Rattus norvegicus: one gene and its partners. The protein of the gene in region 1 interacts with the protein of each later gene in a pairwise test. Links are inferred from orthologs where the notes say so. Each region holds a gene or a part of one and is shown on either strand. Other genes may lie near its edges. The genes, in order: Ssx2ip, Top3b, Ccnh, Morn4, Zgpat, Tfip11 and Xiap.

The links.
Region 2: the proteins of Ssx2ip (region 1) and Top3b interact in binary tests that used the Homo sapiens proteins (3 or more experiments, as listed by UniProt). The two-hybrid records come from large-scale screens. The link is inferred for Rattus norvegicus from reciprocal best matches to the Homo sapiens genes SSX2IP and TOP3B.
Region 3: the proteins of Ssx2ip (region 1) and Ccnh interact in binary tests that used the Homo sapiens proteins (3 or more experiments, as listed by UniProt). The link is inferred for Rattus norvegicus from reciprocal best matches to the Homo sapiens genes SSX2IP and CCNH.
Region 4: the proteins of Ssx2ip (region 1) and Morn4 interact in binary tests that used the Homo sapiens proteins (3 or more experiments, as listed by UniProt). The two-hybrid records come from large-scale screens. The link is inferred for Rattus norvegicus from reciprocal best matches to the Homo sapiens genes SSX2IP and MORN4.
Region 5: the proteins of Ssx2ip (region 1) and Zgpat interact in binary tests that used the Homo sapiens proteins (3 or more experiments, as listed by UniProt). The two-hybrid records come from large-scale screens. The link is inferred for Rattus norvegicus from reciprocal best matches to the Homo sapiens genes SSX2IP and ZGPAT.
Region 6: the proteins of Ssx2ip (region 1) and Tfip11 interact in binary tests that used the Homo sapiens proteins (3 or more experiments, as listed by UniProt). The two-hybrid records come from large-scale screens. The link is inferred for Rattus norvegicus from reciprocal best matches to the Homo sapiens genes SSX2IP and TFIP11.
Region 7: the proteins of Ssx2ip (region 1) and Xiap interact in binary tests that used the Homo sapiens proteins (3 or more experiments, as listed by UniProt). The two-hybrid records come from large-scale screens. The link is inferred for Rattus norvegicus from reciprocal best matches to the Homo sapiens genes SSX2IP and XIAP.

The regions. Positions count from the first base shown.
Region 1 is NC_086020.1:237,957,208-237,961,263, reverse strand, and holds the start of Ssx2ip (afadin- and alpha-actinin-binding protein), read right to left. Parts: upstream 2,801-4,056; 5' UTR 2,692-2,800; exon of another isoform or gene 2,078-2,691; intron 1,749-2,077; 5' UTR 1,582-1,748; intron 1-1,581. UniProt on the Homo sapiens protein: Belongs to an adhesion system, which plays a role in the organization of homotypic, interneuronal and heterotypic cell-cell adherens junctions (AJs).
Region 2 is NC_086029.1:97,626,798-97,631,044, forward strand, and holds the start of Top3b (DNA topoisomerase 3-beta-1), read right to left. Parts: upstream 2,801-4,247; 5' UTR 2,727-2,800; exon of another isoform or gene 2,160-2,726; intron 1-2,159. UniProt on the Homo sapiens protein: Releases the supercoiling and torsional tension of DNA introduced during the DNA replication and transcription by transiently cleaving and rejoining one strand of the DNA duplex.
Region 3 is NC_086020.1:17,576,994-17,580,493, reverse strand, and holds part of Ccnh (cyclin-H), read right to left. Parts: coding exon 3,485-3,500; intron 2,404-3,484; coding exon 2,193-2,403; intron 1-2,192. UniProt on the Homo sapiens protein: Regulates CDK7, the catalytic subunit of the CDK-activating kinase (CAK) enzymatic complex. CAK activates the cyclin-associated kinases CDK1, CDK2, CDK4 and CDK6 by threonine phosphorylation.
Region 4 is NC_086019.1:250,845,144-250,849,242, forward strand, and holds the start of Morn4 (MORN repeat-containing protein 4), read right to left. Parts: upstream 2,801-4,099; 5' UTR 2,664-2,800; intron 1-2,663. UniProt on the Homo sapiens protein: Plays a role in promoting axonal degeneration following neuronal injury by toxic insult or trauma.
Region 5 is NC_086021.1:188,850,214-188,854,418, reverse strand, and holds the start of Zgpat (zinc finger CCCH-type with G patch domain-containing protein), read right to left. Parts: upstream 2,801-4,205; 5' UTR 2,666-2,800; coding exon 2,097-2,665; intron 1-2,096. Other genes in the region: Arfrp1 (ADP-ribosylation factor-related protein 1), read left to right, coding at 2,946-3,104, 3,511-3,687, 3,944-4,031. UniProt on the Homo sapiens protein: Transcription repressor that specifically binds the 5'-GGAG[GA]A[GA]A-3' consensus sequence. Represses transcription by recruiting the chromatin multiprotein complex NuRD to target promoters.
Region 6 is NC_086030.1:49,962,258-49,965,757, reverse strand, and holds part of Tfip11 (tuftelin-interacting protein 11), read left to right. Parts: intron 1-43; coding exon 44-571; intron 572-650; coding exon 651-757; intron 758-1,379; coding exon 1,380-1,548; intron 1,549-1,910; coding exon 1,911-2,154; intron 2,155-2,665; coding exon 2,666-2,808; intron 2,809-3,091; coding exon 3,092-3,257; intron 3,258-3,500. UniProt on the Homo sapiens protein: Involved in pre-mRNA splicing, specifically in spliceosome disassembly during late-stage splicing events. Intron turnover seems to proceed through reactions in two lariat-intron associated complexes termed Intron Large (IL) and Intron Small (IS).
Region 7 is NC_086039.1:125,797,395-125,800,284, forward strand, and holds the end of Xiap (E3 ubiquitin-protein ligase XIAP), read left to right. Parts: intron 1-1,548; coding exon 1,549-1,742; 3' UTR 1,743-2,390; downstream 2,391-2,890.

The DNA of each region.
Region 1 (4,056 bases):
GAAGGAGAAGCATGCAGCCGCACAACCTCAGGACTGTAGTCAGTCTCTTCAGTTTCCATTAAGACTTGCTATTGATCCCAGAGTCTCCTCTCTGAATCCCACACTGCTCCCACCCCAGATTTTTGGACCTCCCATCCCTCAGGGCCTGCCCTGGGCTGGGACTGGATTCCATGGTGGCTGCATCTTCATCACCTTTGGCTCTCCAGCCCTGGCACAGAGGACCCGCTTGAGCAGCCACTGCTGCACTGTTAAGGCTCCTGTCAGCTTCAGTTAAGCCTGGGGAAAGCTTTCAGGTCTTATCTAGACCATCAAGGTCCAGAGCCCATAGACTGTGCAAATTACTAACTTGGGCAGACATACTCTACATCAGAAGCAATATAATCCCCAACAAAACCGTGTGGATATTCCTTATTGGTCAAGGGTCACAGCACTGTTATTAATGCTTGTCACTAACGCAGCAGCCACAAGGACACCAACCACCTGTAACCGGCACCTGCTTGGCTGCTCGCACCAGTTGGTGAGCGCCTGTCAGGACACAGCTGAGATGCCTTCTTTGCTAAGGCCCTCCCACATTTGCATTCTCCCCTTCTCCACACAACACCAACCCACCCCACCCCCCAGAACAATATTCAGAGCAACACATCTTTTTATCCTTAGGCCTGGCAGTTGGCAGCTGAGTGTCTGATAATAAATGTTTACTGAAAGAATAAATTTATTAACATACAGTGAATCGCTCCTACACTACACAAAATACTGGACCAGCATCAAACCGTATAAATCTAGGTTTTCCCATTACTAATAACGGATGGTGTACTGTCTCATCCTAGAAGCTCATGAGTCTAAGTAAGCTGTATGCTCATAAGCACCTAACCATAATTAAAGACACAGAACACTCACACAGCCTCTTGTTATGAACAATTGGGTAAGCCAGCAAGGTAAGTTCACAGCTAGTGTAAAAGATACAGGAAGCTATCACTAAAATTCGCTCTTGAAACTGAGCCTAGAAATACGGGGCTATAAGTCCAGCTACTGGGAGGCTGAGGCAGGAGTTCAAAGACTGCTTGGGCAAGCTAGTAACAAGGCAACCTTGCCTCAAAATAAAGGCACACTGGGTTTCAGCAACAGAACACTTGCCTTGCATGTCCATGGCCCTGGTCTGGTTCCCCAGGGACTGTGTGAGGGCATTCAGAATGAGAGGGAGCTTGTTTTTAAGTAGGATGTGTGTGTTGTTCTACTAGGTCTGGAACTCCTAGGCTCAAGCTGTCCTCACCTCAGTCTCCTGGTAGCTGGAGTAAAAGGTTGGGGCAGCCACAGTTCTAGGCAAGCTTGCTTGCTCTCTTGCGCGCTCTCTCTCTCTCTCTCTCTCTCTCTACCTCCCTCCCTGTCCACCTCCCCTCCCTCCAGCCACCCCCTCTAGCTGAATGCTGAGTGAGGGCACATTCAGTATATCCTAACCGGTTTGGGCCAACAAGCTGGTTTGTCCACTTTTAAGAGAGGCCAAGTACATTAATTTGACTGGGCTGGGTTTGAGGTCTCAGGGACAGCAGGAACAGTTAACTTTTCCATGTCCTGTACACCTGCCTGAGCAAGTCGAGGATGCTATGGACTTAACAGGTCTTGTCACAAGGCTCAATGTGTCATGGAGTAAGCTTCACGTTTCATCCTGGAGTGACCCAGCTTCTGCAGTTATCTCCAAGCTGCTTCAGCCTGGTTACTTAATCCCTGGGCCTATTATCTTCCCTGTACAGCTGGAGAACAAGAAGGAAAGGAAGGGTGTAAAATGACAGGCTGTAGGGGCCCCAGCAGTCACCAGAAAAACGCCCTGGTTTGAATTCTATCCATTCCTAATCCTCCTCTCAGAGAATCGTTTTTTGTATGAGGAACTTTCATGCACACCAGGCAGGACCAAGTGTCGACAGGGATGGCAGCTTGCCTTGTTTAGTTTGAATAAACTACGCTTCCTGGGCCCACAAGCTCTTGGGGAGTAAGGAGATTGGATGGATTAAGTTTTGCTGGCTGGAGCGACCATTTCGAATTTTATCCAGCCTCGTAAATGTGTGTCACGTCATATACGGACCTTTCCGTTCGAGATCAAATTATGGACTAGAAAGATTTCCTTCCACGGATTGCGGGCTCCACGGCAGCACTATTTCCAGCTGACTCCAGGCCTGGACTCTATTCCGAATGGAAGCAAACCTTAAATCCAGGAGGCTCTCATCCTTGGACTCCACCTTTCATACAGTCTAGAAGGAACTCCCAGTTCTCACAACTGCATCAGCGTTGCCGGTTATGGATCTGATACACTGTGGGGGTTAATGAAAAGATTCCTCTACTGGTGCTGATGGGGAATTTTTTGGCAAGTTTTATTTCCTGGGCCCAGGTGACTTGCATAACCCAGCGACCTGCACTAGGAGAAATTACGTGCTGACCAGACAGAGCTCACCATTCACTCACTGTGCACCACTGGAAAAATCGAGGCCAAATAATTTCTCCAGCAAGTCTACCCCTGCGATGATGTAAGTTCTTCCCCTAAACGTGGGGCTGGACCACGATGAAGCACCCACCTACGGCGGACCTCACTCGCTAAGTCCTACGGCAGCCTCTGAGGGATCGCCGAGCCCACGCGGGCCGAAGGGACCCCGCGCATGCCCCCGCCGAATCCCGCAAGGGCGCGGGGTCCCCAGCACCTACCTCACACTTCCCGCTGCAGGCGGCTGGCAGCAACGCTCTCCAACCGCTGCAACGGCCGCGACGAGCCCGCCCAGTGCCGGCCCGGGTGCATGCGCCCACGTCCAGCCCGGCGCCCTCCCCGGCTGCGCGTCACAATCCCGCCGCTCACCGTCACGGCACCGGGAGCGGCTCACGCCTCCCGTAGCCCGCGGGCCCGCACCCGCGGCGGCACGCAGCGGTTCCGCGCAGCCTCCAGCCCGCCGGGTCCGCCCGGCCCGCCTCTCGCCGCTTTCCTCCGCGGGCGCCCATCCCACCCCGCCCTGCGCTGGCGCCGCCCATTGGCTCCGCCGGTTGCCAGGCGACGAACAACCGCGGCCCGCATTGGTCCAGCGAGGACTAGCCTACGACAACCCCAGCCGCTCTCCCCCGCGCAGCTGCGGCCACCGCACCTGTTACACCCGGGTTCACCAGGCCGCCGCTCCCCGCCCCTAGCTCTCCGCGGGGACAAGAGGAGGGTCCTAGCCGCTTTAGAGCCCGGCCTCCGAGGCGACCCTGAACCCCAACGCTCCCAAGGAGAACCGGGTGCGCTCCCCAGATCGGAGAGACACCAACGGGCATCCAGAATTGGGTCAGGCACTGGAGAAGGAAGGTCAAGTGGCCTCGGGAATCAACACACCAATGGCACAAAAATCAGTGGAAAACCAGAGCCGGGGTAGTGGGCAAGAAACCCCGAGTTCAGGCCGCAGGACTGCACACAGCGTGCGTGAGGTTGCAGGTCTGTGAACCAGCAGAACTGAAGTTCAAGGTCATTGGGAGCTCGAGGCTAGCCTGGGCTAGTAAAGCTCGAGTAGTGAATAAAATTAAGCAAAGAAAGGAACCTAGGGAGGAGACAGCTGGAAAGGGAAATGAAGAAACAACAGTACTTGTGAACTAGAAGTTGATGGAAAAACTCCCTAGGCCCACTCACTGAGTGCAAAGAAAATGTATGACAGCTGCAATTGGCCAGATCCACCTACCTCCCTACTATCTCTACCAAAAGTTCCTCCAGAAAGGAAAATGGAGAATCCATAGTAAAGGGCGGGGTGGTGGAGTTCTAGCGAGGTGTTTACTCGAGGAGAAAAAGAAGTTTGGGGTTTTCTAGCGAGGTGTTTACTCGAGGAGAAAAAAGTTTGGGGTTAAGTGGCTCCTGTTAACAATTTGAGACCAAAACAGCATAAAAGGAAAACAAGGAATACCTCACTGCCACAGAAGAACGAGAGAGAAGAACTACACATACCCTCAATGCTGAGAAGTGGATCAGAGTGCAGACATGAGCGTTAGAAGAGGAGGGAGACAGATTAGATGCTGAACACAGGTAGCAAGGACAGACACATCATTACAAAAATG
Region 2 (4,247 bases), on another chromosome or scaffold:
CAGTCCTTAGAGCTATCACATATAGAGGAGCAAGAGGCCAGAAAGGAAAACTGGAAACAGATTGTTCTACTAAGGCTTTTGAAGTTCCTGTGTCTTCCAAAGAAAGTGGTGGGTACTGGACAGTCCCACCAATGTGGTTGGAATGGGGACACTGTCATTATAATGTTCTAGAATGAATGGGAATGTGGATCACACTAGAGCTGAAGTGGCAGGACACCTGTTTGCTCTAGAACCTGTGCTCTAAGATTTTATCCTGTTGCCTCTAAGGATGTCTCTTGCTATATTGCCCTGTAGCTTACTTCTAAGCCTGATACAGACTCCTAACAGGTTCTTATCTTACAGCTCCTGGAACATAAGCTGGCTATGTGAGAGCAGGGACTTTCTCGCTCAATCTAACGGAAAGTAGTGGATGGTGAGCAATCTCAAATGAGTGTCTGAATACATGACAACAGTTTTACCTGTAAGTTTACCTGTTTATAGATCCTTCAAACCAGACCAGACCAAACCAGACCGAAAACTTAGTTCACCTTAGGTGTGGTAGGAGGCAGAGGCAAGTAGATTTCTTAGTGTGAGTTTGAGGCCAGTCTGGTCTGTCTAGTAAGTTCCAGGACAGCCAGTGTTACCAGTGAGTCCTCATCACATAAAAACAGCAACAGCAGCAGCAACACCGGACTTTATAGGGTGTTGACAGCAAATACTTCTATTTCTAGGCATTCTTTTTCTATGCTCAAAGTTTGGGAAGTTTGTATCTCTTTTACTCTTCTACAACCTAAGATCCTAAATTACTGAATAGATTGACAAGTTCCTTCAGACACAGACATTCTGCCTTTGCAGGATTATGTCATGTATCCAGGAAAAGGAATATGACTGGGCAGTAATACAAAGGTATGCGACACATTTCAACTTCAGATGCTTGCCCACTAGTCAGATTATTCAGCTGTTGTCCACTTTGAATATATATTTATCTTCAGGAGCTTTGACTCAAAACAAATACAAGTAGTTGTAGCACTTCAGCACAAGAGGACTTTGTAATATTCTATCACTATTTCAAAGGAGGAAAAACATGATTTCTAATGCCAGGTATGCTGGCATACACCTATAATAGCATCTTTCAAGAGGCTGAATGAGGCAGGAGAAGCTTGAGTTGCAGGCTATACTCAGTTACATAGCAATAAGCTGTTAAAACATTTTTTATTCCTTTTTTTTTTTTTTTTTTTTGGAGCTGGGGACCGAACCCAGGGCCTTGCGCTTCCTAGGTAAGCGCTCTACCACTGAGCTAAATCCCCAGCCCCTTTTTTATTCCTTTAAGGATACAGAACCAGGTAATCCAGGGCCTTAACAGTCACTGTCACAAAAGAAAAGGCACTAAGTCTCTACACAGGGCCTTGTGTAGCCAAGGCTGGCCTCTCTATTATGTAGTCACTATGATCTTGAATTCTTGATCTTTCCATTTTCAACTCCTGAGTGCTGGGAATTCAGGAGTATACCAAAATGTCCAGCCAAGATTTTTATATATAGACTCCTTAACGTAAACCTACATGATACACCAACTTTGATCTTTTCTGCCAAAGTTTTGACATTACAGTTTGTCCTATTCTGGAGTTATTTAGGTGTGGACTGCATAGAGAGAGTAATAGTAAGACAACTTGCTTATACCTTGCCAAATCTCACCAATCATTGTGCCCTTTGGAAAACATTGTAAATATGGAGATTTCCTTTTGGGTCAGTGTATTATGAAGTAGTGGATTTAACTTGGGGATCCCCAAAAGAGGTCAGCAAAGCATGGAAAATCTAAGTATTTAACACTTCAGTGACTTTTAAGCACCTACAGTCCCAGGAAAACAAGCCTCTTAACTCCTTCTCTGTTATCTCTTAACTCCTCTGTATCTACTATGCTGCAGTTCTATGAATATCACTATAAAATAGGAGTTAAATTTAAATTAAACAAACAAACAAACAATTATTTGTGTGTGGATATGTATGGGCACGCGCATGCTACAGGTCACAAGTCAGAGGACAACTTGTGGGATTCAGCTCTCCTTTTACCAAGTGGGTTCCCGGGATCGAAACCTTGGTGGTAAGAGCTCTGAGCCATCTCATCAGCCCAGTTAGCCAGAGTAAACTGCAGTTCCTAATAATTCAGACAAGTGAAAAGGGACCTTGGCGAACGGTGAAAATTCCCCTCCTTCTCCAGCTATCAAATCCAAGTCGTCCTCGCTTTTCACAGTCCTGTTCCCAAAGGCCGAGTGCCAAATAGTTTAAGAGAAGTCATCGTTCTTTCCTTTCACCTATGATTAAGTAGCTGGCCCTCGATTCTAATTCATTGGTTTACCCACGTTTTCTCCAAACCTGTGGAGATCAAAACAGAGAACAGCCCGGGTCTCCAGACAGAGCAGGCTCCGGCCGGCAGCAAGTAGAACCTTCGACTAAGAACGCGGACCGCAGGCCCGAGCTTTTGTGGGCAGCAAGGCTTCCCTGAGCCAGTTTCCCTACCCTCAATTAGGGAGAAACATCTCATCGCGGGGCCGCGGGGAGCTCGGTGGAGCGACAGTCGCCCACTAAACTCGGTCCCACCCGAAGCGAGGGCGGGACCGGGAAAAAGCCGCACCAGGCAAGGACCCTCCCCCACGCCCCCACCCGGGTCGGAGCTCCGCTACCATTCCGGAAATGCCCGAAGAAAGCCAGCGTCTTCCGCTTCCTCGAGCAGCCAGCAACCCACTGCTCACCCGCCGTGCCGCTGCACCTCTCGCTCCGGCCGTGCTTTCCCGGTGGCCACTCACGAACGCACTTCCGGCTCTGTCCGCTTGTGGCGTCCCCTCATCTGCTCTCCGATGTCGACACTAAGGTGTCTGCAAGTTCCGAGGTTGGTGAGTTCCGGGTGCCTTGCTGTCTGCATCTTGTTAGGTGCAGGAGGGTCCAAGTCTCCGTTGTGTGTCTTCCCTCAGCCTGGAGTTGGTCTTCCAAAAACTATCCAGAGGACAATAATGACGATTGTCAGTATGATGATGAAAACTGATGAAGACAGATGCAATTAATGATTAAAATAAAAATTTAAAGTTTAATAAAAAGTTTAATAAAGTTTTATTTGATGTACATCGGTGTTTTGCTTGCATATGCATATCCATGTGAGGGTGTCGAATTTCCTGGAACTGGGGATAGTTGTGAGCAGCCTTGTGGATGCTGGGAATTGAACCCAGGTCCTCTGGAAGAGCAGCTAGTGTCTTTAACCACGGAGGCATCTCTTCAGCCCAATAATTACAATGATTTATACATTTCAGATAGCAGGCTTCTTTTAGTGTTAGGAACATCTATGAGCTAGGATGGTGGCTCTTACCAGGAATCAAGCAATCAGGAGGCCGAGGCAGAGAATTAGAGGCCATTCAGGGCTACACAGTGAATTTCATTCCAGCTTAGGACTCAGGCTGTACAAAACAAAATACCATTTAAATTTTTGTAGACCATACTATTTGTGTTAATGTATCTGGAAGATAATATGTACATTTTTTAGAGCATTAGAATTATGGAATTTTAAAATAGTTTTTATGACTTTATTAGCATATCATTTTTAATAGCCTGGTGGTGGCTCACACCTTTGATCTCAGCTCTTGGGAGGCAGAGAAAGGCAGATTTCAGTGAGTTCGAGGTCAGCCTTATCTGCATAGCGGGGTCCAGAATAGCCAGCCAGAGCAACATAGTGGGACCCTATCTTAAAAAAAATTTTTTTTAAAAATTTTATTTATTTTAAAATTGTCTCATTATGTGGCCAAGGATGTCCTGGAACTCACTGTGGACCCAGGGTGGCCTCAAACTTATGGTGTTAAGCCATTCTTTTGTTACCAAGGCTGGCTCTAACACCCCCAACAAGCTAGGGTTGGGCACACACTCTCAAATCATCAATCAAAGAGACAAGTAAGAACCCGTAAGATGTCTGTCTCAGCAGGCAAAGAACAGCGGCTGTCAAGCTGACTATGTGCACACAAAAGAAATGAAAGTAAAAATGTAATTAAAAAAGAGATAAGTAATACTAAAAAGGAATTTATTCAGTGTGCTCACATGTGGTTTACGAACATCTAAAGAGGCCCAATGACTGCTCCCACACATTTTTGGGGTCTGATATGAGGCTTAGGTTTAAGGAGAGAACTCTCGTCCCATTCACCAGGCATTTGAACATGAACTACAAATCTGCTTCCGTGGGGCTCAGCCTCTCAGAGGGGAGTTGAGGTCACTCTCCCTCAGGGAGATGAGCC
Region 3 (3,500 bases), about 220 Mb from region 1:
TTCCTGGGAACTGGAATTGCAGGCAATTATGAGCTACAGTGCGGGTGCTGGGAATTAAACCCTGCTCATTTAGAAGAGTAGCAGTACTCTAAACTGGTGCATCATCTCTACAGCCTGTTGTCTTTTAATTTATTCCCCTAAAGCCACCAATCTGTTTTATTTTCCTTCCACACTTCAAAGACAAATGTCAATAAAATCATGAATGACCTTTCTGGCACCGAATTTAGCAAACATTAGCAGCCTCCATTATCTTTTCCTAATCCAAGCAGAATTGGAAAGATGTTCTCCTTACTTACTAGAGTACTCTATCTACTTCCCTTTATTTTTTTCCAACAATCCTACAACTCTGGATACATTTTACTCCCATTATAAGCTTCTTCATTTTTCAACTACCGTTTAAACATTTATGACCAAAGCCCTCGCTGTTACCCTGCTGTTACCCCTTTGTCCATTGTGATCCACTCTCTTCATAATGCAAGACACATTCAGATGTCTAATCTCATCTGATGGTATAATGCCTATTTTGATTGTCAACTTGACTACATCTGAAATTATCTAGAACCCCAAATGGCTGGATGACCCTGTCAGGGATTTTGTTTAAAACACACCTTTAATCCAGATCTTTTGAGGTGTTAAGACTCATCTTTAATTTGGGTCACACCTTCTGTTGGAAGCCTATATAAAGGACATGGCAGAAGGCGGCCCTTCTTTTTGCTTGCTTGCTCTTGCCTTGCTAGCAAGTCCATTCCTTCTCTGGTATTAGCACTTCCTTCTTTGGCATTCTAGTGTATACTGAAGACCAGTTGAGATATCCAGCCTCATAGACTTAACTACTGGACAGTGGATAGGATCTTGTGTTCATAGGCAGTCACTATTTGATTAACTTGACCACATCCTAATAAATTCTTCTCTCTCTTTCTCTCTCTCTCTCTCTCTCTCTCTCTCTCTCTCTCTCTCTCTCTCACACACACACACACAGACACAGAGACACACACAGACAGACAGACACACACGCACACACACACACACACACACTAATACTCTAGAGAAACCTGACTAGTATAGACACCAACTAACCTGTGAGGTGCCAACAGGCCATTTTTTCACATTGTGAACCCAATCATGCCAGTTCTATAGACAAGGCTTTCATGGTCTTTTTCCTTTGTAAACATCTTCAACACTATTTACCTAGTCTAGATACCTGCCTTTAATTCAAGCCAAAACACTCTTCCCCTCCATCCCCTGACTCTTCCTGAGTGCTTGACTAGGAAAGTCTTTGGGTGGGGTGTTCTTTCCTCACCTAATTCTACTCTTGATTTGAATTTCACTTCAACAGTGTTTTCCTTGCTTTTCAATCTGCCATCTTCTAATAGAATATTTTGATTTCCCTATATAAAATTTACCACATTAATAGTTATCTAAGGTCCATGAAAGTTGTCATGTTCCTGTCTTGTTTCTAGGTTGCACCCCAAAAACATAATGCTTAGCATAAATAGCTGCTTACCTGAGAATAACCAGCTCTTGACTTTTCTTTGACTTAGTCTACTCAACAACTTAAATTGACTACATCAATATTAACATATGCATTAATATGTGGTACATACAAATACATAGACTGAATTCTACACGTAAAATATACACATGCACATATTTGTATTACAAGCTTTGTGATCTACTGACACTACAGTGCCAGGCTAGTCTCAAACTCCTAGGTACAGAGTGATCCTCCCACCTAAACTTCCTGAGCCCCTGACCATACAGGTGTCACCAATTTACTTATAATTTTGGCGATTATATTTGTGAACTGAGTTCATAAAACATTTACAATAAGATTAATTTATCTTTTGGTTTAATATTAAGAATTTTTTGAGGCACTATAAGTCACTAGGCCTAGATCTATGACAATATATACCAGTTATAAGAACATTACTATAATCTGATAATCTACTATAGGTTACTAAACAAGAAACCTGGGAATTCTTACCCAATAATCTTAAGAAACAAACTTTCCGGGTAGACTCTAATGCACACTGAAGTTTGAAAACTATTACCCTAGAAAAGCCAGCGAAGATTCTTGGGGTGCACCTGTGTTATAGCAGTTAGGATACTACTGGTTAGAAAGCTTTCGATTCTTTTTAGCAAACAGTAATAAAGGAGTACCTCTATCAGCTGTTTCATGCCAGTACATTTACCTTTATATCAATGAGGAAGCCTTCAAATGGTCTATATGGATTGTGGACAATGAGGTGAAAATTAAGTTGTTGTATAAGTAGTAGTTCATATTCCAAAATCTGTTCCAGTGCCTTCTCCTGTCCAAGAGGACTCTCTCGAAGGTTCCCAACAAACTGAGGACTAGACACATTGAATTCATCTACTTTGCAGGCCAAAAATGCACAAGTAAGCCTACATAAAAAAATAAAGGATGGCAGAAATACCTAATTATTACTTAAAGTGCTTTGTAAACTGCATAATATTCATATGTGACTATGCTAGATACTGCAGGAAATTAAATGAATTAAATTAAAAAATAAAACAGAAGTTAAAAAATGTTCCTCTTTAAACTTTGTTAGGCTTAGGAGAAACTATATAGTTAGGTTGAGCCATCATTTACTACTGCTACAGCATTAACCATTAACACATAGCATCTATAATCCAACCACAAACTTGGAAAACATAATAAGTAGTGTGTATCAAGAAATATAAATGGAAGATTTAATTTAACGGAATAGAACACATGCATATACCTTATAACCATACAAGACAGGTAATAGTAACTAATACTCTAGACAGTCAGCAGCAGCAGCCTCAAGTCATTGTGAGGATGTGATTACTGCTTGCAAGCAAACATGGAATTCTCCTGAGTACTAAGTTAAGTTCATCGAGAACTAGTGTAAGAAAGCTACTGCTGTCACCCTTTAGTATCTGAAGCCAGAATAAAGCCCTGAGCTTGACTGCTGAGAAGGGAATGGTGACAAATAAATAAACAGACAGACAAACAGAAGGATAAATGGCAGCAAACAGTTTGGTGAGTCCTATATTAACTGTGTTCTCATACATGATGATAAGCATGATGCTTAGCAAAGAGAGGAAACAACATATACTTCTGCTTAGCCAAAATGAATATGAAGTTACAAGATGCACAAACTGAATGGAAATGGAGAGAAAGCAATTACCTCAAATGATTCTTAGCCTAAGCAATTGGCAGAATAAAGGTGCCACTGATAGCGGAACTAATAGGATTATTAGTGGAAAGAGAACTAGGTGAGTGGTGGACAAGCTGCAGTTCAGAGGCCATTAGCTATACAGAACATAACAGTAACTAAGAAGGCCTTATATCCAAATAGAAAAAAAATTCAGGTCTAAATTGTTCCTAATTAAAATTGTCAGTTATCTGTCATATACAGCTCACAGATAAAGGTCCACACATTATAAACATCTTCAATAAAAACAAAGCAAAACAAAACAAAAACAAATTTATACTCACATTATTATCCGAGGGT
Region 4 (4,099 bases), on another chromosome or scaffold:
ATTCCAATTTTGGGGGGCATTGGGGAGAAGGTTTGAGACAGGGTTTCTCCGTGTAGTCTTGGCTGTCCTGGAACTCGCTCTATAGATCAAGCTGGCCTCAAACTCACAGATATCTGCCTGCCTCTGCCTCCCGAGTGCTAGGATCAAAGGCGTGCACTAGCACCGTATGCCACCACCGCCCTGCATCCTCACTTGTCAGTCATCTTAGCTCTGACAGGAGCAGTCGTTAGTGAAGGAGCTGTCAGTCAAATGGTTCCAGTTCCCAGTCAGACACTGACCCACTCACCGGAGAATCTATGGAATAAACAGAAGCCATCTCCATGATGTCAGGTCTAGAGTCCTGACTTAGGATCTGGGAGTATCGTGGGGTGGTTTTAAGCTGCTAAGGGCTGGGTTAATTCATTGTTTAGTGGTAATAAGCAGAGTACCACCTGCCAACCTACCCCGACACCATTCCGTGCTGGTTTTCAAGAGTATATATTACAAATTTCCATTCCTTTTCAATCTAGAAAGATACAGTAAATTCAGCAGTGGTTTCTTAAAACCATGAACAGTTTCAAGACTCAAATCAGAAGTGCTAATTAAAAGGAACATATGTAGAACTCAGGGGTCTCGGGCTATGGCTGAATACATTTGTCTAGGAACTGCAACATGTGTCCAAACAGGTGATACTGTCACATCCTGGGAATTTCACCAGTAACCAAGATTATCCATAGTTACTGAGGCAAATATAGATTAATAAAGTGTATCCAGTACTAATGCAAATGGGAAACCCAATACTTTAATAAGGAACACAGATCGACGTCTATAATACTTGCTTAAATAATCCTGTTGGAGAAAATTGATGCCCTAGGCTTCAGATCTATACCTGGAATCCAGTCACAAACCAACACGATCCACATTCCCACAGAGGCCCTTTCTGTGCTTGTGACAGACAAGCTGCAAATGATCAGATGGAAACGTAACCTAAAATTACCATTTTTTTTTTGTCCCTGTAATCCACTGTTCTGGGACTGTTGGAAAGAGACTATATCTTTTGCTCTCTTACTTTTTTTCTTCAGTGGATGGCTCCAAACAGAACTCGAAGACAGTGATAAGAAATTGTTTTCATTTTTTAGAAGTGCTTTGAGTTTATGTGTCTCTGTGTGAACTTGCATGAATGTTTGTATGCTATGTGTGTACAAGAGCCTGTGGAGGCCTGAGAGGCCTTTAGATTCCCTGGAACTGGAGTTACAGGTGGGTGCTAAGAACTGAATCCTGGCCCTCTGCAGGAGCAGTAAACACTATTGCCATGCCTCCCCCACCTTTTCTCCTTCTCCCTGTCTCTCTCTCTCTCATAAAACCAAGCTAACTAAAGAACATTTATGCATTTGCAGCAACTTTTGTCTAAATCAAGACGTTTTTGTTTGTTATTTGAAGGAGGATTATGTAGTCCTTGGTTGTCCTGGAACTCACTATGTAGACCAGGCTGGCCTTGAACTCAAGAAGATCCACCTGCCTCTGTCTCCTGAGGCTCCACCATGTATGTCCAGCTTAAATTAAGAAGTTTTAAAACAAAATAACAACAATTCTTCCCTCCCCAACCTGAGAATAATCATATCCCAGTTAGAGACCTTTTGTTTGGAAGCAGACACCCTAACTATCCACACCATCTCCGAACTGTTCCCAAAGCCACTTCCTTGGGTAGGCAAGCTAACAAAAAATTCTTTTAGTTACAAAGGAAGCAACCATAAGTTTTTAGAGTCCTAAGAGGGGAAAATGAAAGCTCTGATGAGCAAAGATTAGGAAACTGGAAATACTGTTTAATAAAACGTGTTTTTAAATGAATATGAAATAATTAGGGTTTTAACTTTAAAATTATAATCTCCTTCCTATCTGGAAAGTAAGCATTGGCACTGTTATGATAAGCAGGTTTTATTTTTAGGGAGAATGTGGGATGGTTAGATTGAAGAAGATGAAAAGAGAACACTGGTACCAAGAAGAAGGTTTTTAAAAAGACAATGACACAAGAGTGATAGGCTCGGGGTTGGGGATTTAGCTCAGCGGTAGAGCACTTGCCTAGCGAGCGCAAGGCCCTGGGTTCGGTCCCCAGCTCCGAAAAAAAGAAAAAAAAAAAAAAAAAAAGAGTGATAGGCTCTCCGGAGTAATATTGTCACAACACTATTCTATCTATGCTAAGGGAAGGGACAGTGTCTGGGCCGGGCTCTAATATAGTGAAGTTACTCTGGTTGGGTCCTAAGTAGTTCGTGGATGCTGAATTACAGAAATGACAACCCATTCCCCAAGCCTCAGTAAGTGGGACATCTCCCTACCTGTGGCACAGACGCGCCCTAGATTAAACAAAACCCCAGACTTCGACACGCAACCCAGTCTTCCACTGCATTTTTCATTTCAGCCCGGTTCTGTCCTTTTTTTTGGGGGGGGGGGTGTCGGCTCCCACTCCACAGGCTCTTCAAGCTCCCACAGATCTGGCATTCCCTGCAGACACAGCCCGGCACACCCCTCTTGATAACCAGTGTCCTGTGTTCTCCAGGGCTACGACCTCTGGATCGAAACTCCAAACCCAATTTTGGGATCCCACTGGTAGCCACCTTCTTGTCAGTACAGCCAGGACAGAGGCTCCTTCCCCAGCCCAGTCACCTGCTTGCCGCCTCAGTCCTTACCTGGTGGACCGCACTCCCAAGTCCTCTTCCCACCCGCGCCGCAGGCCAACCTGAGCTCGGCTTCTCGAAGACGACTGTTACGCCCCGACTTGACGCGGGGCTCCAGCAGCTAGGATCTTTGCTGCTCCGGGCTCCCCACTGCCACTTTCCCCTCTGCCCCGCCACCCGCCTCAGCCCCACTGGACGCCGCCATCCCTTACGGCCGCACTGGGCACAATTCCCGCTGTTCATTGGCTGTTACCTAGGCAACCGCGAGCAACGCCACTCCCCATTGGTCCAGCCCTCTTTCGTGCCATCTTTGTGAGGGGCCCAGTGTTTTGGGAGTCTGGGCCAAAGATCTGAAAAAGGGGTGGGGCTGAGCCTGCTGTCCAATCTCATTAACCCCAACCGAAAAGAAGGACTCAGGTTTCACGTCTTCAGACACCTCCAGGCAGAGACTTTAATCCTAGATAAGGTCGAACGTGTGTTCAAAGTGGCTACATTTCAAAAGGTTGTGATTTTTAGATTCATAAACAACTCCACCGCTAAGTATGAAGAGAAAACCTAAACCCAGATTTAGAAGCTCAGCTTTATAATTAATGATGCGCTGCACATTTCCATTCATAGGGACTCTCTGTGTTCCACATCTTTTGTATTTAAAACCTAGTGCCACTATTGGAGCAAATCTTCCCAAATACTGTTCCCGGATGTCCGTGTAGCCATATGTTTGTTTAGTGAAGTGCATGCGGGAGAAGCAAGTTCTTCAGGGCTTGGAAAAGCCCTGGTCGTTGATGCGTCTCTCATGGGACTCATGACACGAGTGAGGCGTTGAAAGACAAAGCAAACTGGTTCAAATTGCTTTTTGGATTAGGATTCCTTCAGCCGCAGGTTAGAAAGTAATAATGATGAAAGTGATAGAGGGCTTTACAGGACTTGTGTGAGAACACAACGCCAAAGGGACGGTAGTTTTGCTTTGTTTTTTAAAGATTTGATTTCTGTGCTCAAATCCTATCTTTTGCTACTTACGAATTGTGTGTGTTTTGAGTAACTTAGTAAGCTCTCTAGCCTGTAAAATGAGATCGGACAATACATTCAATGTGGTACTAATTACTCACTTGGTAATGTAAGCTAAACTGTGGAATTGATTGTAGATTAAAGTGCAGTCACTGAGAAATGGATTGGAAAGAAAGGGATCTTCTTAGAACTCGTGCTAGGAAATAATAAGGAAAAAATGAGATTAAATCACAGATTGTGCGGGACCAAATTATGGGAAGACTTATAAATTAGCACAAGAGTTTGCAAACTGTAGTTTCTTTGATGGCTTGAAACTGTAGTTTCAGCAAGATGGCTTGTTAGGTCAGAGCAAATTACCTTGTCTCGTCGGGACACAGCATCCAACATCATAGGAGTTTTAATGGCAGTTAATGGAGCTAATCCATGTAAGATACTTAAAACAA
Region 5 (4,205 bases), on another chromosome or scaffold:
TGCTGGATCTAGTGGGGGGTAAAAGACAGTTTTTAATTTAATTTTACAACAACAGCACTCTTTTAATCCCAGCACTCCAGAGACAGAGGCAAACTCATCTCTAGTCAGCCAGGGCTGCACAACAGAGAGACCCTGTCCATACACAAATAAAGTAAACCTGCTGGGCACACAGATCACTTATGCACCTATCTGCTAGCAAAGGAAGATTGGGCAAGGACATGTCCGGTCTACCATGAAATACAACAAAAAGATGTGCACAGCCAAGATAGGTAGCACTTGCTTACAATTCTGGCCCTTGAAGGTGAAGTCAAGAAGACCAAGAGTTCAAAGTCATCCTTGGGTATATAGAAATGGCTGTGTGTGGCCAGCCTGAGCTACATGAGACCTCATTTTAAAGACAAAGTAAAGAAATAAGATGTGCAGAGTACAGATGTAACGTGGGAATAAGAGCCTAAAGCGATGTGAGGAGGCCACAAACCAAGGAATACAGTTGGTCTCTGGAGGTTGGAGAGACGGCTCAGTGGTTAACACCTTCTTCTAGTTTTCTCAGGCTAGAAGATTGTGTAGGTACACACCCCCCACCCCCCTACACACACACATACGCATGCACTCACACACAAATACACATAACTAAAAATTTATCTTAGCCAGAAATGGTAGTGCTTGCCTTTAATCACAGCACTCAGAGGGCAGAAGCGGGTGGCTCTCTGTTAGTTCCAGGCTAGCCTGGTTTATAAAGTAAGTTCCAGGACAGCCACCAGGACTACTATAGAAACTTTGTCTCAAAAAAGCCAAAAATAGCCGGCCAAAAATAGCCGGGCCATGGTGCAAACCTTTAATATCAGCCTTTGGGTAGTGAGTTCAAGGCCAGTCAGGTCTTCATAGCTATATGTAGTCCAAGACAGCCAGGACTACACAGAGACCCTGCACCAAACCAAAACAAAACAAAAGAAACCTATGGATCCTTGGAGAAAAACATTAAAAAGGTAAAAAAAATAAATAAGTCAAAATAAAATAATAATAATTAAAAAAAAAAAAAGGACAAAGAAATGGATTCTGGATTCTACCCTCAGACTTCCAAGGATCTAGCCCTGCTTAAAATCCTGCCTTTGGCCAAGTGAAACTAATTTTAGATCACTACTAACTACTATTATAGTAGAACAAATCTGTTTTTATTTCAGTGGCCTAAAATAAATTCAAAGCACTAGAGTTACTCTGGATTATTGAGTTAAAAAAAGACATAGGGGCTGGAGAAATAACTCTGGTTAAGTTAAGAGCACTGACTGCTCTTCCAGAGGTCCTGAGTTCAAATCCCAGCCACTACATGGTGGCTCACAACCATCTGTAATGGGATCTGGTGTCCTCTTCTGGTGTGTCTGTGCACTTATATATAACAAGTAAATCTTTTTTTTTTTTTAAAAAAAAGACATAGGTAGGTTTTAGTAATTATTATTTAGCTACATTCTGAAGTATTTGAGGGTGAGAGAAAAAGATGTGACTTGCCAAAGGTAGCACAAGGGGGAAAGGCAAAGTAGCAAGAGGTTATGTGTTTGAATGTTCTGTAAGACTATATATAAACGCTCCCCATAGCTGAGGGTAGGACTGAGGTGTAGAGTAGCTGACTGCCTGGTGTGCTGGAGGCCCTAGTTCCACCTCATCATAGTCAAAAAAAAAAAAAAAAAAAAAAAAGGTTCCAAGCTGAAGATGTAGCCCAGTAAAAGTGGTGGTGGCCTCCACCTGTAATCCTAGCATTTGGAAGTTGAAGGCATTCGGGATCTAGCACAATTGCTGAAGGATCAGGAATTGAAGAACAGCCGAGGTTACATTGCCATCTCAAAGCAAAAAACGTTTTACCTTGGAGAATAATATTGATGATGGGTTGCCCTATCCTTTCAACAATAGCCCTTTCAAACTTTTTGATTTATGCAAGAAAATCTAAGTAGACAAACGAAGAACACTTCTGTAAAAGCCTGTCAGTCACCTGAAGCTCGGACTCTTCATTATCAACTCTGCAGGGTGCAGAAAAAGTTGTGGCGGCAGGCCACAGCGGTGGTCCTGACTACGTGTCCCACATTGCTAGTAGCAGAGGGTTTTACCTGCAGTTCTCCTTGAACCGGCACTTTCCCTCCAGGAAGAACGGGCAGGGCTTCAGGGACTTGTGGGTAGGGTATAGGTAGAGTACCCGAACGCACGCAGAACCATCCTCCGCCTCTTCGGCGCCAACAACCATGGCGTTGTGATACTCTAGCGTGCCCCACGCGCTGTAGTAGGGGGCATTCACTTTAGCACCGCTCAGATCCTCCAGATCTGGGTCCTCTTCCTCTTCCTCCAGTGCAGAGGAGGTGGGTGTCGGCTGCACCTCGCTCCCAGGGACCGTCTTCGAGTCATTGCCGGGGTCAACGGGTGCTTCCTCCGCTATAGCCTTCTGGAAAGCCAAGTACTCAGCATCTTCTTGGTGCTCCTGGTCCACTGTAGATAGCAGCTTGCTCTTCCTGACCGACAACAGGCTGGCCTCGGTGAGCTCGATCAATTCTTTTAGATCGCCCTGCAGCTGGCGCAGGTCCGCCTGCTCAGAAGCGTCTAGGCCAGCACCGAGCGCCAGCTCTACTTGCTGAAGCTGGGCCCGGTAGGTCTGCAGGGCAGTCTCTAGGTTGTCCTCGTCCATCCTGACCCAGAAGGCTGGTTTCGGAACCTTTAAGGCAGACAAGCTCTGAAGGAAGAGCAGTAAGAAGGGCTAAGTGCAACGCCGCCCCCCCCAAACCGCTAGAAAGGCTGAGGAGGACCCAGGCTCTGCCGAGGGGACCTGCACTTAACCCGCCCCCGTCCTCTGCCGTCCGCAACCCCACCTCCTGACTGCGGTCGCAGTCTAGAAGGGTTTCCGGCTTCCCCAGCAAAGCTCACGCGCTAACCTTCCGCCCTCCGCTGGCACTTCCGCCGGAGAGCCGATGCTGCCGGAAGTACCGGCGCGCGGGGGACGCTGGGATGCGACTCCGCCCGTGCTGGGTCTGTCGATCCTCGTTCCGTCAGGCACCGTGAGGGGTCAACGTGAGGTCGGTGGGGTTAGTAACGCGGTGGCGGCGGCTCCTCCTCCAAAATTTGAGCAGGTACAGGTGGGCCTCAGCTGAATTGAGGAGCTGGGGTTCTAGAGTCCTGAAATAGGGGGACGGAAGTGGCTTCAGCAGATGGTTCCTAGTCTCCGTGGGCCCAGCAGCGGCGGGAATCCGAAGCCGACCCTCGCCAGAAGCTTTGCCTCTTTGGTAGCTCCCTAGACAGTCCGCTGGCCCTGCTTCCTGTCGCTGAGTTGAGGGTTCGGAAAGAGGATCCTTTGGAAGGCGGAGTAGAGTAGGCCGCCACGGGCTTTTCAGGGTTCCAGGTCGATGGTGTATTCTGAAAGATGACCTTAAGTGGGAGTGGCCCAGGTTTAGCAGGTGGGCAAGGGTGGAGTCAGGGTCAGAGATTTTTAACCGAAGGGGGTGGGGGGGAGAGTCAGGATCCTCATTTAAAAACTAGCAGGATAGACTGATCACTGATGAAGCGGGCAGGAGGCCGATGACCCTGGTACACACCTTGACATCTCTCAGGGTGCCAAACAGGATGTACACGCTGCTTTCCGGGCTGTACAAGTACATGTTCCAGAAGGATGAATACTGCATCCTGATCCTGGGCCTGGACAATGCTGGGAAGACGGTAGGTCCTTGTTCTCTCACGAGTTCCCATTCCCCGCTTGATGTTTTCTTATGTTGGAAATCTAACCCGGGGCCCCAAGACTACAGGTTAGTTGTCACCAGCCTCCTGAAGAGCAGTCAACAGGCAGAGAGGTGTGCGTGCATATGTGTATGGATGTGAAGGCCCAAAGCATATAGGTGTGAAGGGTTATATTGGGAAGAACACCAGAAAACTGCTCTAGGTGCTGCTATCTAACCACCTCTCTTTCTTTCCTCAGACCTTCCTGGAACAGTCAAAAACACGATTTAACAAGAACTACAAGGGAATGAGTCTATCCAAAATCACCACTACCGTGGGTCTAAACAGTAAGGGGGCACCTTAGGGATATGAGCTTGGGGGGGTCCCTTAGAAATGGATACTGTAAGGTCCACAACTCAACTGACCAGTGGTCAGAACCCCATCTCTCTATTCAAGCCCCCTGGGATTGGTACCAGAATGTTTTGTCTCATCCTGGGGAGAGCTGGGACTTTATGTGTGAA
Region 6 (3,500 bases), on another chromosome or scaffold:
CTGATCAATGGTGCTAAGGGGTGGTGACCTGTCTCTCTCATAGGTGATCGACATGACAGGCCGGGAGCAGAAGGTGTACTACAGCTACAGCCAGATCAGCCACAAGCACAGTGTGCCCGATGAAGGGGTGCCGTTGCTCGCGCAGCTGCCTCCCACAGCTGGCAAGGAAGCCAAGGTGCCGGGCTTCGCGCTGCCTGAGCTGGAGCATAACCTGCAGCTGCTCATTGAGCGTACGGAGCAGGAGATCATCCAGAGCGACCGGCAGCTGCAGTACGAGCGGGACATGGTGGTCAGCCTGTCGCACGAGCTCGAGAAGACAGCCGAGGTGCTTGCTCACGAGGAGCGGGTCATCTCCAACCTCAGCAAGGTGCTGGCCCTGGTGGAGGAATGTGAGCACCGCATGCAGCCCCATGGCGCTGACCCGCTCACGCTGGATGAGTGTGCCCGCATCTTTGAGACACTGCAGGACAAGTACTACGAGGAATACCGCCTGGCGGACCGCGCAGACCTCGCTGTGGCCATCGTCTACCCGCTTGTGAAGGACTACTTCAAGGATTGGCACCCCCTTGAGGTGAGCTAGGGTGCAGCCTGCTCTTGGGCTGGGGCATGGCTGCCGAGCTGGGAAGGCTGATGATGCTGGTGTTCTGCAGGACAGCAACTACGGCACCCAGATCATCTCCAAGTGGAAGAGCCTCCTGGAGAACGACCAGTTGCTGTCTCACAGCAGCCAGGACCTGTCCTCAGATGCCTTCCACAGGTACCAGGCCGCACCCCACTGTGTTCCCTTCCAGGCCCCACCCCACTGTGTTCCCTTCCAGGCCCCACCCCACTGTGTTCCCTTGCTTCTCCAAGGAGCAGGAATTGTGCTAAAGGCTGGGTGACAGCCATTCTGGCCCTGTTGACTCTGCTCCACCCCAGCACTGCTCTGGGCTGGGGGTGTTGGAGATGTGCTCACCCATGTGTCTATTGAGAGTCCTGAGTGTCCAGGAGCTGGGCTCACCCTGACCATGCGCACCTTTGGCCCAGTCTGGAAAAGGCAGTGCAGGGCACTAGTAAGAACTAAGAATGCGCCAGGCGTGGAGAGGACAGGTGTCTCAGGAGGGGACATTCAAGCTGTGACCCCAGGTGTGAGAGGTGCTGTGAACTGAGGCTCTTATGGGAAAGCAGCTGATGACCCTGTGCTGACACTGTCAGCCACATGAGCCTGTAGCAACCCTGCCAGTGTTGGCATCACTGAGGAGCCCAAGGCTGAGAGCTAAGACATCACAGGGACCCCTGTGGGGACTGGCCTGAGGTTTCCTGTGGTGGTCTGTGGGCTGGTACACTTTGAGCACCATGAAGCCAGCAGTGTGGCTGACCAGCTGCCTTGCCTCTCGCAGGCTCATGTGGGAGGTCTGGATGCCTTTTGTTCGGAATGTTGTCGCCCAGTGGCAACCCAGGAACTGTGAGCCCATGGTGGACTTCCTGGACAGCTGGGCACACATCATCCCTGTGTGGATCCTGGACAATATCCTGGACCAGCTCATCTTCCCTAAGCTGCAGAAGGAGGTAGGGCGGGGCTCTGACTGGGTCTCTTAACTGTGCACTGAAGTCCTGAGGTTGAAGGGTGTCAGCATGGCTGGTGGCCTGCAGTGTTAATCGTAGTCTTCTCCATAGTACCCCTCCCCTACCTCCCTCTAGTGGGAGTTGCCTTTCTCAGTGTCTTTATTGAACCTTGAGCTATGCTGAGGCTTGAGTTGGTGGCCTGAATGTTTGGTTTTCTTCTATGGAGGGACCTAGAGTACAGAATGCCTACTATTTACCTCCATGGTGGGTCTTGCCCTCCCTACACACAGGCCTCTCCCTAAGGACAGCACTGCAGTGTCATTAACTGCCCATGGGCTGCATTGCTCATTCCACTCATCCTGTAGGTGGACAACTGGAACCCCCTGACAGACACCGTCCCGATCCACTCATGGATCCACCCGTGGCTGCCACTCATGCAGGCCCGCCTGGAGCCGCTCTACTCCCCTGTCCGCAGCAAGCTGTCTAGTGCACTGCAGAAATGGCACCCCAGCGATGCCTCAGCCAAGCTCATCCTGCAGCCCTGGAAAGAGGTCCTCACCCCTGGGTCCTGGGAGGCCTTCATGCTCAGGAACATCGTGCCCAAGCTGGGTAAGGACACAGGGACCTGGAGGCCGAGTGCAGCTTACTCAGTGTCTACCAGAAGGTATACTACTTAGAGCAGAGATAGATGGGAGTGGAACCAGGGCCTTCCTGCTGTTCCTTTACAGCTTGGCCAAGGTCTGCAGTGATGGCTCTGGGCTCTCTGTGCCTTGTGGTTTCCTGACTGATTTGGATGTCAGAACCAGAAAGCCAATGGTCTGTTTTTATTTATTTTTTTTTTTTTTTAAGATTTATTTATGTGAGTACACTGTAGGGGCCGTCTTCAGACGTACCAGAAGAGGGCATCAGTTTCCAATTCAGATGGCTGTGAGCCACCATATGGTTGCTGGGAATTGAACTCAGGACCTCTGGAAGAGCAGTCAGTGCTCTTAACTGCTGAGCTATCTCTCCAGCCCCGGCCCTGGCCTTTTAAGTGCTTGTGAATCTTCGGAATTCACTGTGGGTAGAATGACAGAGCAGACAGGAGACTAGAGAGTCTGCTTTGCCATCTCTCTTGCAGGCATGTGCCTGGGTGAGCTCGTCATCAACCCCCACCAGCAGCACATGGACGCCTTTTACTGGGTGATGGACTGGGAGGGCATGATCTCCGTCTCCAGCTTGGTGGGATTGCTGGAGAAGCACTTCTTCCCCAAGTGGCTTCAGGTGAGCACTGTGGCACAGGAGGGACATGGGGTGGAGTTGCGAAGCGCCTCGTCTCAGCTCCTCAGAGAACCTGTCAGGGATGTGGAGATCAAGTGTGTAGCACAGAGGCCACAGTCTGGCTCCAGATTCTACTGGAACTGCTAGACACCGCAGCTCCCCGTGCTCTGTAGTGTGGGCTGCTGGAAGGAGCAACACTGAATGCAGCAATTGCTCCTGGGGACACTCGCTCTCAGTGCTGTGGTCCATGTGTGGTCACCACTCAGTATCCTGTGTTCTTTGGCAGGTGCTGTGCTCCTGGCTCAGTAATAGCCCCAATTACGAGGAGATCACCAAGTGGTACCTGGGCTGGAAGTCCATGTTCTCAGACCAGGTGCTGGCACACCCTTCTGTCAAGGACAAGTTCAACGAAGCGCTCGACATCATGAACAGGGCTGTGTCCTCTAATGTTGGTGAGCAGGTGTCTCAGTTAGGGTTTCATTGCTGTGACAGACACCAGGGCCAAGGCAACTCTTATAAGGACAAGGTTCAGAGGTTCAGGCCTTTATCAAGGTGGGAGCATGGCAGTGTCCATGCAGGCTGGTGAGGGAGGAGCTGACTCTCAGGCAGTTAGGAGGAAGCTCTCAAAGCCCCCTCGTCCAGTGACACACTTCCTCCAACAACGCCACACTTCGTAATAGTGCCAGCCATATTCA
Region 7 (2,890 bases), on another chromosome or scaffold:
ACATGGCGTGCTACAGTGGATGTGTGTTTACTTATTGTACACCAAGTACCTAAGGAAGTGTTCACTGAGTGCTTTTACTTGAACAAAATTAAACTATTGCTTTCTGAACATGTTTTGGAAATAATGTTCCTTCTAGGACATAAAAAGGAGTGACGGCAGGCATGTTGGTACACTGTTAATCCCAGGATTCGGGAGGCAGACACAGGCAAATCTCTTAGTTCCAGGCTAGCCAGGACTTCATAGTGAGATACTGGATTTTGTTTTGTTTTTAAAAGGAGATACACAATTAAATAGGGACATGCATTTTTCCATAATGAGATGCATACAGTAAAGTAGTTCTTAGGCGACAAGCACTAGAAGTTAGCAGACAAACCTAGCAGGACTGGTGCAGTAGCTCAGTGGTTAAGGCACCTGCCCCCAAGCCCGAAGACCTGACTTGACGTCTGTAGACTCGGGAACTGTATGGTGCAAAAAGAGAACCAAGTCCTAAAAGCTGACCTCTTCATTTTTACACGTGTGCCACAATGTATGCACTCATACAACTATAAATCAATGTAATAAATTATTTTTTAGAAAGAAAGGAAACTTGTTTTTAAAAGATGCCACAAGAAGTAAGTGTGTGGCACAATGAATGGTATACAGTATCCTGAACTGCAGGATTCCTGACCCACCCCAAACACATAGACACACACAAACACACCAAAGGGGGAAGAACCTTCACGTAATTCTCATTTGAGGCCAGATTTATAAACCATTAATACACAGTGATTACAAAGATATGTAATGTATTCAGAGTAATGCCTGGTACAAAATATTTATGCTCTATTACTGTTGATTGTTGTTGCTGTTATCATATATGACTACAAATCATAGTTTTGTGGCATATTTGTTAGCATTTTACAAAATCTGTTTTGGCAAAGATTCAACTGTGCAGCTACTCCAGTATCCTCTATATGCTAATTACACCGAATGTTTTTGTTTGGGTGCCCTGCCAACATCTTAAATAGACTTGAAGCTGTAAAGCCTTTACCTCCTTTTATATTTCCAATCATCATCATTGCCTCCCTGACACATTAACAAACGCAACTTTAGTTCCTCTTTCCCTCTTTAGCCCTCACATCTAAGCACTAAATCCTACCCGTCCCACTGTATTGACCCTTTCCTGGAATTACTTAATGCCTTTCCATATGTTTGTACATTTACTTCATCCTTGCCTTTTCTGCCTGGTAATGTGTTGCCTATACTTAAATGTCCTCCTTGTCATGATGCCTTCCCCAACCACCCAGACAGAAGAACTTGTTCATCTTGCCCCAGAGCACTTTGTATGTAACTTGATTATAGCATGTTGCACTTTGTACTTACCCTCTCTGGCTGCAGCTCCCAGCCTCTCCCACTAGCATACAAGCTTCTTAAGAATTTGTGCTATGTCTGAGTCATTTTCATGTCTCCCAGGACTTGAGTGTCTGCCACGCAGGAGGGGTTCAATGTTTCAGTGAATTTAAACAACAAAACCCAAAACTAGTATATGTTGTTTTTCTCTTTATACAGACATCAGTACTGAAGAGCAGCTAAGGCGCCTACAAGAGGAGAAGCTTTGCAAAATCTGTATGGATAGAAATATTGCTATAGTTTTTGTTCCTTGTGGACATCTGGTCACTTGTAAACAGTGTGCGGAAGCAGTTGACAAATGTCCCATGTGCTGCACAGTCATTACGTTCAAGCAAAAAATTTTTATGTCTTAATCCAGCACCACAGTAGGCATGTTATGTTCTTCTTACTGCAATTGAATGTGTGATGTGAGCGAACTTTAAGTAATCAGCATCGCAGTCCATTAGCATCTGCTCCCAGATGGAAACAAATGTTAACAGCACTGTTTCAGGCTAATCTTCGAATTTCTGGATCTGAATGCCCGATCTTAGCTTATTAGCTGTTTTACCATTTATCCAGGGTTTGACACGTTAGAAACCTTAGACAAAGAAGCATTTTATAACTTTTCACATGTATATTTGTAGTACACTGACTTGTTTTCCGTGTGTAAGTGAATGAGTCACCTGCATTTTTCATTCCTTTTTTCATAAGCTTAACAAGCGGAGTGTTCTGTATAAGCAGGGAGGTTTGATTTAATCTGCCCAATCATTTTAATTTGCTTATTGTAAACAGGGAAAGAACTGTTCCACACTGGTTGGAGGATGAACATTGTTTTTAGATGTTTGTTTCTGTGTTTTAGGATTCTGTTCATTTACTTGGGATTTATTTACTTGGGAATTGTAAATGTACTTATATGAATATTTTTAAGTGATTTTGCCATCTCCTAAAAGATATCTAATGGTGGACTACCATCTAACTAGCATGTACTGACATAGAAAAGCATCACAGATATACTATGTATAAAATACAGATGGCAAAACACTATATTTATCTAGTTGGAGCCAAATCATCACATGTGTATTTTGTACCTGTACAGGACAAAAAGATTTGGAAAGATAAGTATCACACTCTTAAATGTATTTTTTCTTCAGGGGGTGGGGGATGGGTCTTAGAGGGCCTTATAGAGCCCTTCACTTTTTTCCATTTTTTTCTGTTTGAAGCTTTTATAAGTATGTATTACTTTTATAATCAGAATTCTTAGAAAATATTTTGCTGATTTAAAGGCTTAGGCATGTTCAAACGTCTGCAAAACTACTTATCGCTCAGTTTTAGCTTTTCTAATCCCGGAAGGCAGGCCAGTTAACTTTTCTGGTGCCAATGTGAAATTTAAATGTTTTTGTTTTACCTGCTTTGTGGATGAAAAATATTTCTGAGTGGTAGTTTTCTGACAGGTAGATCATGTCTTCTTATCTTGTTTCAAAATAAATATTTCTGATTTTGTAAAATGAAATATAAAATATGT